2 linked regions of the Oreochromis niloticus genome follow. The protein of the gene in region 1 purifies or fractionates together with the protein of each later gene. This does not show direct contact. Links are inferred from orthologs where the notes say so. Each region holds a gene or a part of one and is shown in the gene's direction. Other genes may lie near its edges.

Region 1 (7,732 bases):
TGTGCATGTTTGATGTATATTTTTTCATTGCAAAATATTAAACACATGTCAGTGTGCTACATACTGAACTTACATGACAGAAACAAAGTATCGATACTATCACTCTCATACTGGTGTCGATACTGTTGATATTTGGATAGACCCGCCCACCTCTACTCACTTAATCAAGTAACATTGTTATGTTGTTTGGATTTCATTCATGGCGATTGTTGTTAAAAGAGCCAGCTTTGTGACAAATCTCATCCATATTCTCTGAGTCAAAACTGCCCCCTGCTGCTGCAGTACTCCTCCGGCCCTCTAGGGGGCGTTCTCAGACAAGGGGCCTGTCGACATGTAGCTGAGGAAGAAACGCAGCATGTTGTAGTGTAGCAGGACCTTCAGTGTTTTTGCGAACTTAGTAAAAAAAATGTGGCTCTTCCTTCATTTAGTTATATAATTTACACAGGACAGTCAGACACTGGTTATCGGTCTCAAGGTGAGTCTTTCTTACTGCATACGTGATATCGCGTGCAAACTGAAGAAGGTCATTTTCACATTAGCTGCCAAGCTAACCTGCTAGCATCCATGTATCTGTCAGGGACATCAGCACTGTGAAACAGCTATCAGTCCTCTGTATTTGTGTAATAACCCGTGGCTGTTTCGGCTGGATAAACCCTACAACCTGTATATAATTACTGGGGTTAAACAACTTGTTCTCGGATATGAAATAACCTGCTACCTAAAAAAGCATCTGTGCTGATGGTTCACCCCCTTCACTGAGGTTTAATAAGCAGCGTAGCATGGAGGAAGTCCATTATAAGTGCGTGTAAAGTGTTACCACAATAAATATGAAAGAGTAAAAACTACAGTGTTCCGTGAACATATTTTCTTTTCTGTGAAAAGTATCATAAAATTGAAAAACTGGGAAATGTATTAAAAATATCTCCATGTAAACACACAGATTTTTCCTAATGGCCAGTAAAGAAGAACGAGTGCTCTGTGATGAGGATGTTTCTTCAGTGCTCGTTTTGTTTAACTAGCAGTCAAAAACTCTAAACTTAGCTGTCATATAAGCCATGAAAAAGGGAAAAAATCTCACATTTGAGGATTTTGCAGTTATTACGTGGCACTGTGTGCTAACTAGCGAGGTGAGGTCACTTATCCAGCTTCAAATGATTGTGCTATCATTTCTCTTTGAATAGCAGCACATCCTTATGTACCATGGAGCCTGTAATGCTTCAGCTTTGGCAGAGAGCCTTTCGCCGCCTCCACAGGACCCTGATCCTTCCGAAGAGGTTCGACTCAGGCTGTGCTGAGCAGGCAGCCGTCCCTGCTTCCGCGCCCTCCTGTGGTAGAAAGCCCGTACTTCTGGTGTCTCGTCTCTACCAGCCTTCGAACTTACGTGATGTGGCGCAGGACAGCCGGTTGCCAGGGGAGATGAGCTGCAAGAGCCAGAGGCTCATGCAGCAGGCTGGGCTTATTCATCCATCCAGCCCAGGGTGCTACTACTACCTTCCTGCCACCATCCGCTCCATGGAGAAGCTGGTGAGAGTGATAATAATAATAATAAAGTAATATTATTGGCTGGTTTTGTCCTGCCAAGTAACTGAACTGATAATAGTTTCTTTTTTTAAGAATTTTTTAATACTGTTTTCATTTTGTTAATTTATCCTGGGGCGTGCAAATGCTGTATGAATGTTCCTTTAGATCTTACAAATAATAACACGCTCAATAATTTGCTTTATGACAGGTTCAGAATGACAGTCATCCTCTTACATGGCGTCTATCAAAGCAGTAGTCTGTTGCCACAGGCTCTACATTAGTTTAGGTTGTGAACGTTGTCCAGACAGTCTCTTTTCCCTCTTAGATTATTGTGGATTATAAGATTATAAAACCTAATTAATCTAATCACATAGATTATATGATTATGTAATCGAATATATTAGATTAGATTATATGTTTATTGGGCTAAAATGATAAAGTCAAACAGTAGCTCTTGACTAAAGGGAAAAGGGTACAGAAATGCCTTTTTTTCTAGTTTCCTATCAATTTTTGCGTGATTGCTGATGTTTATCTTCCAACCTCCTGATTTGAACTGCTGTCTTTGATCAACAGGTGAGAGTGATTGACCAGGAGATGCAGGGGATTGGAGGGCAGAAGCTGGACATGCCCAGTTTGTGCTCGGCCGACCTCTGGAAAACCAGTGAGCGCTGGGATTTGATGGGAAAGGAGCTGTTCCGCCTGAAAGACCGGCACGGCGCTGACTACTGCCTGGGTCCCACTCACGAGGAAGCAGTGACGACTCTCGTTGCTCACCAGGCGACTCTCTCCTACAGACAGCTCCCACTGCTTCTTTACCAAGTAAGCATTCAGCCCGTTCTTACTGTCAGTGTTTTTGCTGCAACAAGCTGCAGTTTGTTTGTTTTTTCTGACATGATTTATTTTGGAAAAACCCAAAAAACAGATCACCCGCAAATTCAGAGACGAGCCAAAGCCGAAGTTTGGTCTTCTCCGAGGGAGGGAGTTTTACATGAAGGACATGTACTCCTTTGACGTGAGCGAAGAAGCCGCTCATCAGACGTACGAGTCTGTTTGCCAAGCGTATACTCGGCTCTTCACCAGGTTGGGTCTGCGTTGCGTTCAGGTGCAGGCGGACACGGGAAACATCGGCGGTAAACTGTCCCATGAGTTCCAGCTGCCGGCGGACATCGGCGAGGATCGGCTTCTGGTCTGTGGGAGCTGCTCCTTCTCCGCCAATGTGGAGACCATGTCATCAGACCAGTCCAACTGTCCACAGTGTGAAACTGGGAAACTGGTAGAGTCAAAGGGTATAGAAGTAGGCCACACGTTTTACCTGGGTAAGAAGTACTCTCACATATTCAAAGCCACCTTCAGCAATGCCCAGAACAAGCCGGCTGTCGCCGAGATGGGCTGCTACGGCCTCGGGGTTACGCGAATTCTGGCGGCAGCCGTCGAGGTGATGTCAACGGAAGAGGGGATCCGCTGGCCGGGTCTTATCGCACCTTATCAGGTTTGCGTTTTACCCCCTAAGAAGGGCAGTAAGGTGGATGAGGCAACACTCCTGGCTGAGGAACTGGTCCAAGCTTTGGGAGAAACTCTGCCACAGCTGAGAGGTGAAGTTGTTTTGGATGACCGCACACAGATGACAATCGGAAAGAGGCTGAAGGACGCCAGCAAACTGGGTTATCCATATGTTATTGTAGTAGGACAGGGAGCTCTGGAGGAAACACCCAGGTTTGAGGTGATCTGTCAGCAGACAGGTGAGACAGTGTTCCTCAGTAGAGATGGACTGTTAGATCTACTGGGAAGAGTGGAAACTGTATGAGTAACAAGTTTGAATGTTAGAATAAATGTTTCAGTTTGTGGGTGTGAGGTGGTGGGCATAGATTATTCCATGTTTTCCAAAGCCTTTATCTACACATTGAATAAACGTTTTTTAAACAATAGCTCTGTTATGTACCTGACCTGCATTGTACACTACAACATAATGGAGTCCACAGCTTAATTTTTTTTACAGTGAGTCATGTAATAATCCTAATAAAAATTTAATCTGTACCTGGACAAATCAGTGCTGGTTAGAACCAAATTATGAATGTCGCAAAAAAGTGAGACAGCAAAGAAAAGCAAAGTTGGTAAATATATTCCCATTGTTTAGTAGTATTTAGAGTGGTATCCTACAATGCAGATATCCCTTGTAAGTAGGCCAGTATACAGCATGAAGTACATGAGAATTTGTCACAACATGAATGTAATAAAACACTCAACCAGATTGGGAGTGAGATCAGTGTGTCACAGTAAACTTAACTTGTCTTAAGATAAGATAAGATGACCTTTATTAGTCCCACAGGTGGGAAACTTGTTTTGTTACAGCAAAGTGCAAAGTTATGTAGCAGAAATGAGAAAACACTGGAAAGCAATAAAATAAAATACCATATACAATAGAATAAAATAGAATAGAATAATATCTACAATAGAATAAAATGGAAATACAAATACTATATACAACTGAGTAGGAAAATACAAAAATACAACTTCGTCAGAAGAAGAATTGCACATATACTTGTGTAATAAAAGACCCTTTTCAGAGCTGACGTTTTATGGGACATTCGGCCGCATTCACACAGTTTCAGGTTCTCTCTTTTAATAAGCATCTGATTATTTTATTTCACACAGGTCAGAGGACAAAGCAACAGTTGAAAATTATACATGCATATACATACACTGACATTAACGATGTCCATGGTCCCTGAAAAATTAAAATAAATGCAAGTTTATTTTTTAGCACAAAAATAGTTATCCCAGTGCATGTTGTAAAGCAAGGACCTCAAAATGTGGACAAAAAGCCAAGAGTTACGCTACAGTGGGGGCAGTGTTAGCGTTGCTTTCCATGGTGCACACAAGTAAGGCTGAAATAATTAACGGGATAATTAGAAAAGAAACTTCCACCTATTTAATAATACTAAGTGTAACGGTGCTTTGAGAGCATTACTTCTGCCGTCGGAGCTTCGGAGCAACTTCGTACCACGAGGAGTGGAACGCTCTGCCGGAAGTGAGTTTCCACACGGATTTTTTCGCATGTGGCACCGCTGTTACACATGTGTAAACAAGGCAACTTGAGGAACGGTTAGCTGGACAGACTGCTGTCAGCGTTAATGTAAGATTTAAAAACAAGAAGCAGCTCTTTAAAGTATATTTTGATCCAAAATGGCGTCCACAGTACACAGTGACAGCGACGATGGCATGGACGCGTTCATGGACAAATTCAAGACCCAGCGGTATAAAAATGCCTTCAGTGAAAACGACTGGGAGGAGGTAACGTTGGCTTGCGGAGACTATGTGCACTAGATACAAAGCCACTTGAACCCGAATGAAATGTGTTAGCACGTCTTTGTTTTTATTGATGGTGGTTAGCAATAAGATGCTAACATGCTCAGTACCTCGTGAAGATATCAAAAGTAGAATCGGTACCAATGCTGGTATCGGATCGATACTAGCGCGATAGAATCGACACTTTGCTTCTATTCTCCACGTTCAGTTTGTAGCCCAATGAATTGTTTTAAATTAAGTTATTTTTATTGGTAATGTAAAATATACCTCAAACATACACTATGGAAAATGTCTGAACCTTTCTGTGTTGACTGTCACATGTATTTTATTTATAGCCCACAGACACATTTAGGTTCGAGCTCCCCTCCCCAAAAAATTCAGTTTCAAAATACATGAAGCTGAAAGGTAAAAATCACAGTGATTATTAAAATGTGTTCAGAGTTTGCAAATTAATGATGGTTAATCTCCGACTCTGTATGCTGCCCTTAGAGGTTAAAAGTATTAAAGTGTCCATATTGGTAACGGCATTACTGGCCTTGGCTTTACTTGTATCAGATAATACCAAAATTTACTGCTGTCTCACGCAGGAGTTTAATAAAATACCCATGTTCATGAAAAATGCCCCTGAAGAGATCGACCCACAGAAATACCCAGAACTAGCCTGCCTCCAGTCCATTATCCACGACGAAGACCGGCCTCCTGAAGGTATGCGAACCACAGCTTTCTCTCCTCCAAGCCTTTGAAGCTGCTCGGTATGTATTCGTTGAAAACAGTTGAATAAATGTGAGAAACACGTTCTTTTCCAGAGCAAGCAAAAAGCCTGAAAGATGAAGGCAATGCGTATTTCAAAGAGAAGAACTACCAAAAAGCGGTGGTGGCCTACACAGCGGGTTTGAAGAAGAAATGTGCAGACCAGGACCTCAATGCTGTCCTCCTCACCAACCGTGCAGCATCACACTTTTACCTTGGTAAAAAAAAAAAAAAAAGCATCCAAATGTCCTTTCGCTCTCACAAAAGATGACATTGTTTAAAAAAAATATGTCTGTGTTTTTCTTTTTTCCGTGACTCAGGAAACATGCGCTCTGCTTTGAATGATGCTGCAGCTGCAAAGAAGCTCAAGCCAGACCACCTGAAAGCCTTGATCAGAGGTGTGTAATGTTTTTAACATGTACTGCTATGATATGATGACATTGTGTTACTAGGCATGGAAATCTAGTACTGGTTTCAATAGAATAGAAGAATAGAATAGAATAGAATAGAATAGAATAATCCTTTAATTGTCCCACAAGGGGAAATTTGGTTGTAACAGCAGCCAGAAAGACACATATACAAACAAACAGTACACAGAACAGAAACATACACAATTTTTCTTACATATTTACATTAAGGACAATGGTTACTATAAACAGAGTACTGTACAGTTATTAAATTAAATATAAATAACTACAGATAAGAGGTAAACCAGGTTGTAGTGCGAATCGGTTGATTAACTTATTGCAGTTACAGCGCAGATGTAAACATCTATGATTGTTGGGAGCAGTTCTGATTGTACAGTCTGACAGCTGCAGGGAGGAAGGACCTGCGGAAACACTCCTTCATGCATCTAGGATGCAGCAGTCTGTCACTGAAGGAGCTCTGCAGTTCAGCAACATTTCCATGCATGGGGTGGGAGACTCTGTCCATCAGAGATGTTATTTTGGCCAGAGTCCTTCTGTCTCCCACCACCTGCACTGGGTCCAGGGTGCATCCCAGAACAGAGCTGGCCTTCCTGATGAGTTTATCCAACCTCTTCCTCTCAACTGCCGATAAACTGCTGCTCCAACATACCACACTGTAAAAAATGACAGATCCCTGGATGTTCACCGGTGTCAGTGTGGTGGGTCTGCGTCTCCGGAAGTCCACCACCAACTCCTTGGTTTTCCCGGCGTTGATCAGCAGGTGGTTCTGCTGACACCAGTCTACAAAGTCCAGAGTCCACTGTCTGTTCAGTTTAGAAGCTCCAGATTTCTGTCTGTTTATCTCTTAGAAAGCAAATGAATCCCATGTTTGTGCTTCTGCAGGCGCTCAGTGTTGTATAGAGCTGCGCCACTTTTCAGAGGCCATCCAGTGGTGTGACGAGGGGCTCAAGGTTCATCCTACTGACAAAAAGCTGCGGGAGCTGAGAGCAGTGGCAGATAAGCACAAAGTAACTACACTTCAGATGATCCTTGTCTTTTAATATATTATTTTTAGAAGTGGCGAAAACTTTAAAGCGCTGAAATAAACCTTGATTTGTTTTTGGTATCTTAGAGAGCAGCAGAGAGAGATGCCAGGAAGGCCAAGGCTAAAGAAAAGAAGTTGCATGGTGAGAAAGAAGCTCTTCTAAATGCCATAAAGGTAAGCATTAGAGATGAGCATCTAACGTCGCACGCGTCACACACATATTTGTATTTGACACTAATTGGCAGCTACCTGCCCGGCCGCTGCTGCAGATTTGTAGTTAGAAATCACAAGTCCAGCTGCTGCCACAGCCCTGCTGGAGGCGCCTAGCTATCAAGTCCAAGCCCAGCCACAGGCTCGTAGTTATTGGGCCCGTCACCGGATGATGCGTTAGCAGCGCAGGTCTCGTCTTCACCCTTGGGCCAGGGCAACCGCCACAAACCATCCGATTCTGCAAGGGGCTTAAGTCAAGAGGCTGACCCTACATATTAGAAGATGCATCTTAAACTGCCTTCACTATCTAAGTGAAAAATGAACACAGAGAACGAAATTATATCAGTTATGATTTTGGCATCTATACACAGGATCGAGGCATCAAACTCGTGCAGCCTGTGAGGGCTCATCGGAGCGGTTCCGACAGTGAAGATGAGGATGAACGCTCTCCTGCGGCGATAGCGGAGCTCAGCCTGGATGGCCTCAGCTCTCA
Region 2 (7,459 bases), on another chromosome or scaffold:
TGCATAGTTTCTATGCAATAAATGTTATTTAAACTATGTTAATGCTTTTTTCAATCTTGGAACATTTGATATTGAGGATGCTGTGGGATAAATCTTGGTAAAGTTCACAATTTTTAATGGATTACAGCTCATATGCAAGTGAAGGAAGCTCTGTGCATGCTATGGCCCCCTAATGATGCCATCTGGGCATTAGATGTAAGAATATCTTAAGGCTTGGATGGTGTTGAGCAGTTGGTAGCTGCCAGCACTTGCAGGGTGTCAGACTGGTCAGAATCGTCTCGTCCGAACCACATAAACTGCTCCCCCGCCTGTGCCAAAGCTGCCTCTGCAGACTTCTGCCTGTGGTTGTGAGGGAAGCGCCGGTTTCTGGATGCAGAGTCAACAACCTCTTTCACTATGAAGTCACTCTGGTAGGCTGTGACGTTCCCTCGAGTCTCTTTGGTGCCATTGTCAGTTCCACCATGGCACAGGCAGAAACGGGAGATGTGCTGTCTGCGATCATCAAGACACCTTCTCCTTCCCACACTCTGAAGTACATCAACATAGAATAGAAACGGTCTCCTTTAAAGGTATAATGTGGTGAATCTTGTGTTCAGCAAAGCCTTGAACCTTTCCCTACATACTTACATGAGAGAATACAATGACGTCGTCTTTCAAGGCATGCTTGTTGTCATGGTCTGAGAAGGGATACTCTCTGGATTTCTGCAAGTTAACCCATAAAACACATACTGGGACAGCAACTAAATACACAACTGATAGCAAGTCCAAGAAAAACTATCAAGGCCACTGGCAGTGACTAAAAGGCCATGCCTTATCTACATACACACCTGCTGACTTTTCCATTTAGGATAGCGTTGAAAGTTTAAAGCCTGAGGCAATGATGACTTCACTTGAGTCAGCATGATCCCAGTGCTTGTACAGTTCTCTTGAGTCTTTGTCTCATTTTCTGATAAACCTGAATGAGCAAACTGGGAACAAAATGAAGGAAAACTTAATTACACATCTAGGTTTAGAATGCTATGATTTAATTATCCAATGAAATGAAGACTTCTTACCCATTTGCAATCAGTGCTCACTGAAAAATGCCGCTTTCCGCCTTTTACCATTTTCCCACTACAGCTTGAGGTGTTTAGACCACAATCAGTAAAACCAAACAAGCACTCCACACACTGTGCAACTTAACTACTAATGCCAACACTGGTGACCATGGAAACAGGCAGCAAACAAACTGCAATCAGATCCTAGAGATCGGAACTGAATTCTGATGATTAAAACAAAACAAAAAAACAACCCCAAACATTTTGAAATATTTCAGATTTGTGATTAAACAGAATGAGAAATAGCCCACAATGAAATTCTTAGTATTTAATATTTAATCAATTAAGGAATACAACATGCAATGTTTAAAATGATAGTCTTTGTTCAGGAGAGGGGATTAAAAAAAAAAAAAAAAAGGCATAAAAGTCTCTTTATTTTCTTTTACAGGTGATAAAGAAGACAGTAACACATAATTACATACAAGAGTGTACAGTAAACTAACACTGAGCTTGATTTTTCAAAATTATTAAATGTTTAATTTGTTGAACAGTAATTAAAATGTTAAAAAAAAAAACCCTCAAACAACTGAAAACCAGATGAAGTTGTTTCAAAGGTTAATTTATTAAAAGAAAAAGAATCATAGAACCAGAAGGGTTTGAAGCGTTGATCATGAAGACGACGTCCACATGTGATCAGCTAAACTTCAGGGTGACTTGTGATGTAAAATTAGGCACTAACTATACGTCACAAACAAATTTGCATAGTATAGTGGATCTTTAAATATATTTTTAGATAAATAATAAAAAATAAAATAGATCCATGTGAGCAATTTGTCCTAACGAAAGAAAAACAAACTACATTTTCATTATTTATGTCATCATTTCATCTATAAGCACTGGGGAGAAGAAAAAAAAGTTCTCCCTGGGATCTGAAGGGAATATTAGGCCTGTGGTGGACCCGAGACATGACACTGGTCTGGGAGTCCACTGTGCATATCTGTTGGAATATTGATCCCTGAGGACAAGATAGGCAGACACAAAACAATTACCATTGATTCTTTTGACCAAACATTGAATTAAAGGTCTTGAGCTGTAGATTAAAGTGGCTGGAAACTGTAAAAAAAAACATGACTTTGATGTATTCACTATTATTGCAACATTCATACATTTTAGAATTCATTTTAAAATCTTGGTACTGACTTTTAAAGCTTTGAATTGTGATGCCCCTGCCTACATTTCTGATCTGTTAGAACTTCACGCTCCCTCTCGCAGCCTGAGATCATCTAATCAAAGGCTGTTGGTAGTCCCACGAACACGTTTTAAGACCAGAGGAGAGAGATCTTTTAGAGCGGTGGCCTCCAGGTTGTGGAATGCTCTCCCTCCATCATTACGTTGCCTTGATTGTATTTATTCTTTTAAAAAGCAGCTTAAGACTCATTTATTTAGACTGGCTTTTAATTAGATTTGTGCTGAATGTTTGATTGTGCTATTTTTTTACGTATATCTGTATATTTTTATGTATATCTGTGTTGAATTGAATTGAAAAAAAATTCTTGCTTAAAAATAGCATTATATCAAAGTGGTTGCACATGAATTTCCTATTAAATTCTTAATTACTATTAGGTTTTATTAGTAGTTGGGTCCAAGAGTTCCTATTCAGTACTTCATGTACAGTAACTCTTATGAAGTTGCCACTGCTATCTAGTTAGATGGTTAAAAACAAACAGACAAACCAAAGAATATAATTTTGCACTATTCTCTTATTTTTCCATTAGCCTTTTGTGTATCATATTACCAGCTCACCACTAAGACACACCTTTCTTTAACCTACGACATAAAGCTTCTTAATTTAAAAAGCAAAAAGGGCGGCCTAAAAGTCAGCCATTTGTTTGCATCTAATGTGTGTTAATATCTATATGCAGATTCTTACTCTGAATGGCTGATGTAGACTGTGCTGCATCACTGGAAGAGTTGGTCAGTGTGGGCTCACGCTCTTTCCCCACACCTTTCTGGAGGCGCTTCTTCAGATGTTTGGTCAAATGTTGCCACCTGGTAAAAGGGAGCAGTCCCAGATAACTTTTCAGCTTTAAAGTGTGATTATGCTATCATATAAAGTTAACACGTTTAAATTTTTGAGCTTTGCAAGTCACACAGAACTCATTATCTCACCTTGCCTGAGTGACATTGTAATTATTCAGCCTGTCCGCTTCCTCTTTTTTTTCCTCCATCCATCGCTGCAATAGCCGTTCTTTCTCTCCCAGTGCATCTGCAAGAGCTTCCTTTAGGCATTGCCGATCCACACGCAGGGCTGCTAACTCTTTGGATTGACACTCTATGGTGAACTCATATTCTGAAAGGGCTTCCTTCAGGGTGTTACTCCCTTTAGCCAGAGTAAGTGCCTCTTGATGGAACTGAGACACACTGTAACAGCAAAGTATTATAATGGTGACGAACTGATCCCTTATATTCTGAATACAAAATCCCAACAATCGACCTAATCGACCTCCCAACCTAAGCTGGAAAATTATACTTCTTTATTTCAGTGGTTCAGTATTCCTATGAATATAAAATAAGTTTATTATATGACCAAATTAACTATTTACTAGGATTAATCGGCAACATATTGAGCAATTATGGGGAAACTTAATTTGAAAATTACCTTTACTAGATCTGAAATATACCATGAATTAACACTTACCTCAATCTGGTCCATCATGTGTTGCTTTTACATTGTCTGTGCGTTATTTTAATCTTGGAATCATAGTCGTACTGACCAAGGTATTTGAATTACCGTGATTGCCAGTACTGTAGTTCAGCTTCTTTGAGATGGAGGACGGTGGTTAGGTCGGAGACAGTTTGAGATAACTGGGTAGACAAAACAAAGGGTGGAGTGACCCAGTTCAAAAGCAGACAACAGCACACACCCATTAAAGATGATTATTAAAGTATTTTCTCCACTCCTCTGAACCAGTTGCAATAATGAATGTTTATTTATTTATTCATTTTTTAAAATAAAGTTCAAATGCTTTGAAAGTTGTTTCAGATTGTCAGATGTGGTGTTCGTGCATATCAATGCAAATATGCTGCTCTGCATTTTACGTAGACGTCTTCCCTGTAGTGGAGGTTTTGAGCCTCTGGGGCGTTTAATCATTGGATTACTCCTCATTTAACCCACCTTATCTACCAGGTGCTCACTCTCTCTCAGCTGGAGTCGAAGCAGTGTGGCGTTTCCCCCAACCTCAACTCCATGTCTTTCTAAACTGAAAAAAAAACCAAAAAAAAAACAAGCGTGCAGATTTAAAATACTTTACAAAAAAAAAAAAAAAAATCAAGCAGAGGACAAACCGATCAGCACAAGCGCCAGATGTAGGGTAAGTTAAATTCTGCATTTCTAACCTCTGAGACTGAACATCAGCCAAAATCTCTTCGCGAAGTTCAAAGCGTTCCTCCAGCTGAGACACTAAAAGAAAACAGACAAACGTCCTTAGGTTCTGATAGAGAGGACAACATCAAGAGAGGCAGAGAAAAGTTAATCTTACAGCTTGTGAAAACGCCAACAAACGGGAGCTTTTCTCTGTGGTCCCTATGCTGCAGCCCTTGGCGCACGTGATTCTTCCAACTTTCCATTATAATGGACACTTTAAGGAAAAACCTCTCACGTTTGCGCATCCAGAATAGACTATACTAAAGCAGCGGGAATACAGCGTCTTCAGCCCTCACATGAAGTCTGTGCCATCCACGCAGGAATTAAATGCACTCAGCAAAGTTTCACAGCTCCTCCCTGTTCACTGATCAGCGTGACATTCCTGGCTAGACATTCTTACAAGGATCCATATTGTATTATATTATATTATATGATATTATATTATATTATATTATGGACAGGAGAAACATTAGTACTCGAATATAATTACTTAAATGCTTAACTTGTCCCTCCACTGCTAATATTTTCATGACTTATCATCTCATAATTTATACAAAAATATCCCTGCACCTAAATGTTTTTGTTTGTGATACTTTTTTTTTTTTTTTTAAAAGTATCACAACTTTTTACGGGTTTTTAACAGCTGAACAGAATTGCACTGCAATTGTTTGCATACCTCACACTGAATCAAATTGTTTAAAAATAGAAAAATCACACCACATGCAAAGCTCACGTTAAATTAAAAACAGTGGTGTAAACAGTCAATTTCAGAATAAAAGGTATCAGAAGAACGTGCTCCACTTTTCCAGAAAGAACTTATGAAAATACTTCCGGTTCATCTATTTTTCACAATAAATCGTTTCAGATAAAATATTTTTCCTTGACTAAAACAAATATCCAAAGTTATAGCCTTCAAATGTAAATGTAAATATTTTAATATTATTGAAAAGTTTTATTCTTCGAAACTACTGATAAAATTAGTTTTGTAACTCTTTTTGCCTTGAAACAGGAAGTTGTTGTTGGCTTATTGCTAGCACTTGCGACTGCTCTGTCAATAGACTGGCTGCAGGCTACAGGCTTGTGTAAGTAGTCACGGAGCTAAGAGCTAAACATTAGTCGTTTACAAAGCAATGAAAACTGTTCGCCTTCGTGTCGTTTAGGTTTAATTAGTCTAGTGAAACTTTCATTTTACAGCTTTACGTGTCAGCGTTTCTTTATCGAGGAGCTAGCTTGTCTAGCTAACTAACTTTGCCAACATGTTGACTTACCTCATTCGTTGACTGATGTATAGACGGTCCACGGCTTGTCGAAGCCATGGATATGTTATTTGTTTATTAAATCGGAGTTGTTTGGTGAATTAGATCTTCGTATGTCCAGTATGAGCGCATCAACTGGAGACGGAGAGCCTTGCATCCCCTTGGATAATGCAAAGGAAGAAGTCAGTGGTCCTACCTGCACTGGAGACAACAGTAAACATGTAAGTAACTAGTCTGCAAGGATAATCTACCATCTAGTATGTTGTCATGTGTAACACTCATTAATTAGTATTTGAAGTGCTAATGTTGAGTTAGGCCACAGTGGATTTATAGTGCCATCTGTAAACATGCTATAGCTTTAGTGAGAGTGGGAAGCAGGTGAAGGAGAGCCTGATGAGGTGGTGGAATGCTCTGGAGAGAAGAATGAAGGTCAAGAGAAGCAAGCCATAATACGTGTGAGTTAATAAGAGCGAGACAGGTGACAGGGGAGCGAGACAGTGTAGATGAAAGGAGTAGAATTAGTGAAGGTAAAGGATTTCATATGCCTGGGGTCATCATCATCAAGTAACGGACAGTACACAAGAGCATTGAAGAAGCGAGTGCATACAGGGTGGAGAGGGTGGAGAGGAGTTCCAGGTGTGATTAGTGACAAAAGGACATCAAAAAGGCCTACAAACCTTCTGTGATATATGGTTTGGAGACTGCGGCACTGACAAAAAGGGCATTTGGGTATTTGCAGGAGAGGGATAGTGGATTCACTGGACAAAAGATGTTAAATATGGAGCTGGAGGGGAAAAAGGAAGACAACTGATGAGATCTGTGGATGCAGTGAAGAAGGAAATGCAGAGAGTTGGTTTGACAGAGCATGATGGTACAGATGGGTTGAAAGGAGGCAGATGATCAACTGTGGTGATCCCAAAAGGGTGCAGCTGACAGAAGAACATCAGTGTGCATAGTATACTCATGATAATCAACTGCCAGACATATCCTTATTTAAAAAGATAAGGCTTGGAGCCAAGATCTTTATCATACATTTCAGTAAAAACGAAATTGTTACTCTGTCAGTGCTGTCCATTCATTCTCATAACTTCACACTAATAAGCTTGATATTGTTATTTGTAGGAATCAGCAATATGCTCAGGCAGCAGTGAAATCAAAAGCCGTGCTGTGGTCAAGTACTGTGCAGCCCCACCACCTACCAGCTATGCCCTTCTGCAGGAAAAGACCGACTTGAAGCTACCTCCTGCCAACTGGCTGAGAGAAAACCCCCAGCTGGGCACCGCTGGGACCACTATATTAGGATCTAGCAGCAAGAGCAAGCCCTTTTCCAGGTATAACTTAGAAAAGGGGGCACGTATTCCGTTTTTATGGGAAAGATTGAATTTGAATTGATGTCAAGCTCATGATTGAGGTACATAGGCACCACTTTTATCATTACACCAAGAATAATATCTTTTGTTTAAATGTAATTTGCGACCCATGAAGACTGATACTCTATCCACAATAAACAAGGTGTGGAATAGAGTATTGCATAGTTGCAAAACTATGGTTCAAACTCACAGTGGAGGACTTTTCACTACATAATTCAAAGTACTAAAACCCCTCAAGCTGCTGCACTTTCATTTAGGATGTGAGTGGGTGAATTATGGATACAGTTGAAGACGAAGACTTTAATTATTGCTCATCAGTCTAATTGTTACACAGTTAGTTTGTATTGAGTAAACTGTTTTTCTTCTTTTGCA

Evidence for each region.
Region 2: the proteins of ttc4 (region 1) and edrf1 purify together in Homo sapiens (affinity purification with mass spectrometry; 3 studies listed by BioGRID and IntAct, counting the BioPlex papers as one, with this or other methods). This does not show direct contact. The link is inferred for Oreochromis niloticus from reciprocal best matches to the Homo sapiens genes TTC4 and EDRF1.

Annotation. Positions count from the first base shown.
Region 1 is NC_031981.2:3,039,244-3,046,975, forward strand, and holds the start of ttc4 (tetratricopeptide repeat protein 4), read left to right. Parts: upstream 1-4,555; 5' UTR 4,556-4,704; coding exon 4,705-4,812; intron 4,813-5,414; coding exon 5,415-5,532; intron 5,533-5,633; coding exon 5,634-5,795; intron 5,796-5,897; coding exon 5,898-5,975; intron 5,976-6,887; coding exon 6,888-7,012; intron 7,013-7,116; coding exon 7,117-7,203; intron 7,204-7,610; coding exon 7,611-7,732. Other genes in the region: pars2 (putative proline--tRNA ligase, mitochondrial), read left to right, coding at 1,201-1,524, 2,095-2,340, 2,444-3,325.
Region 2 is NC_031978.2:13,923,556-13,931,014, forward strand, and holds the start of edrf1 (erythroid differentiation-related factor 1), read left to right. Parts: upstream 1-4,302; 5' UTR 4,303-4,408; intron 4,409-4,433; coding exon of another isoform or gene 4,434-4,497; intron 4,498-4,576; coding exon of another isoform or gene 4,577-4,706; exon of another isoform or gene 4,707-4,858; intron 4,859-5,453; exon of another isoform or gene 5,454-5,543; intron 5,544-5,822; 5' UTR 5,823-5,830; coding exon 5,831-5,938; intron 5,939-6,839; coding exon 6,840-7,048; intron 7,049-7,459. Other genes in the region: tex36 (testis-expressed protein 36), read right to left, coding at 207-527, 628-702, 828-968, 1,056-1,106; si:ch1073-143l10.2 (autophagy-related protein 16-1), read right to left, coding at 1,979-2,052, 2,968-3,086, 3,207-3,458, 3,829-3,902, 4,213-4,297, 4,434-4,497, 4,577-4,706. UniProt on the Homo sapiens protein: Transcription factor involved in erythroid differentiation. Involved in transcriptional activation of the globin gene.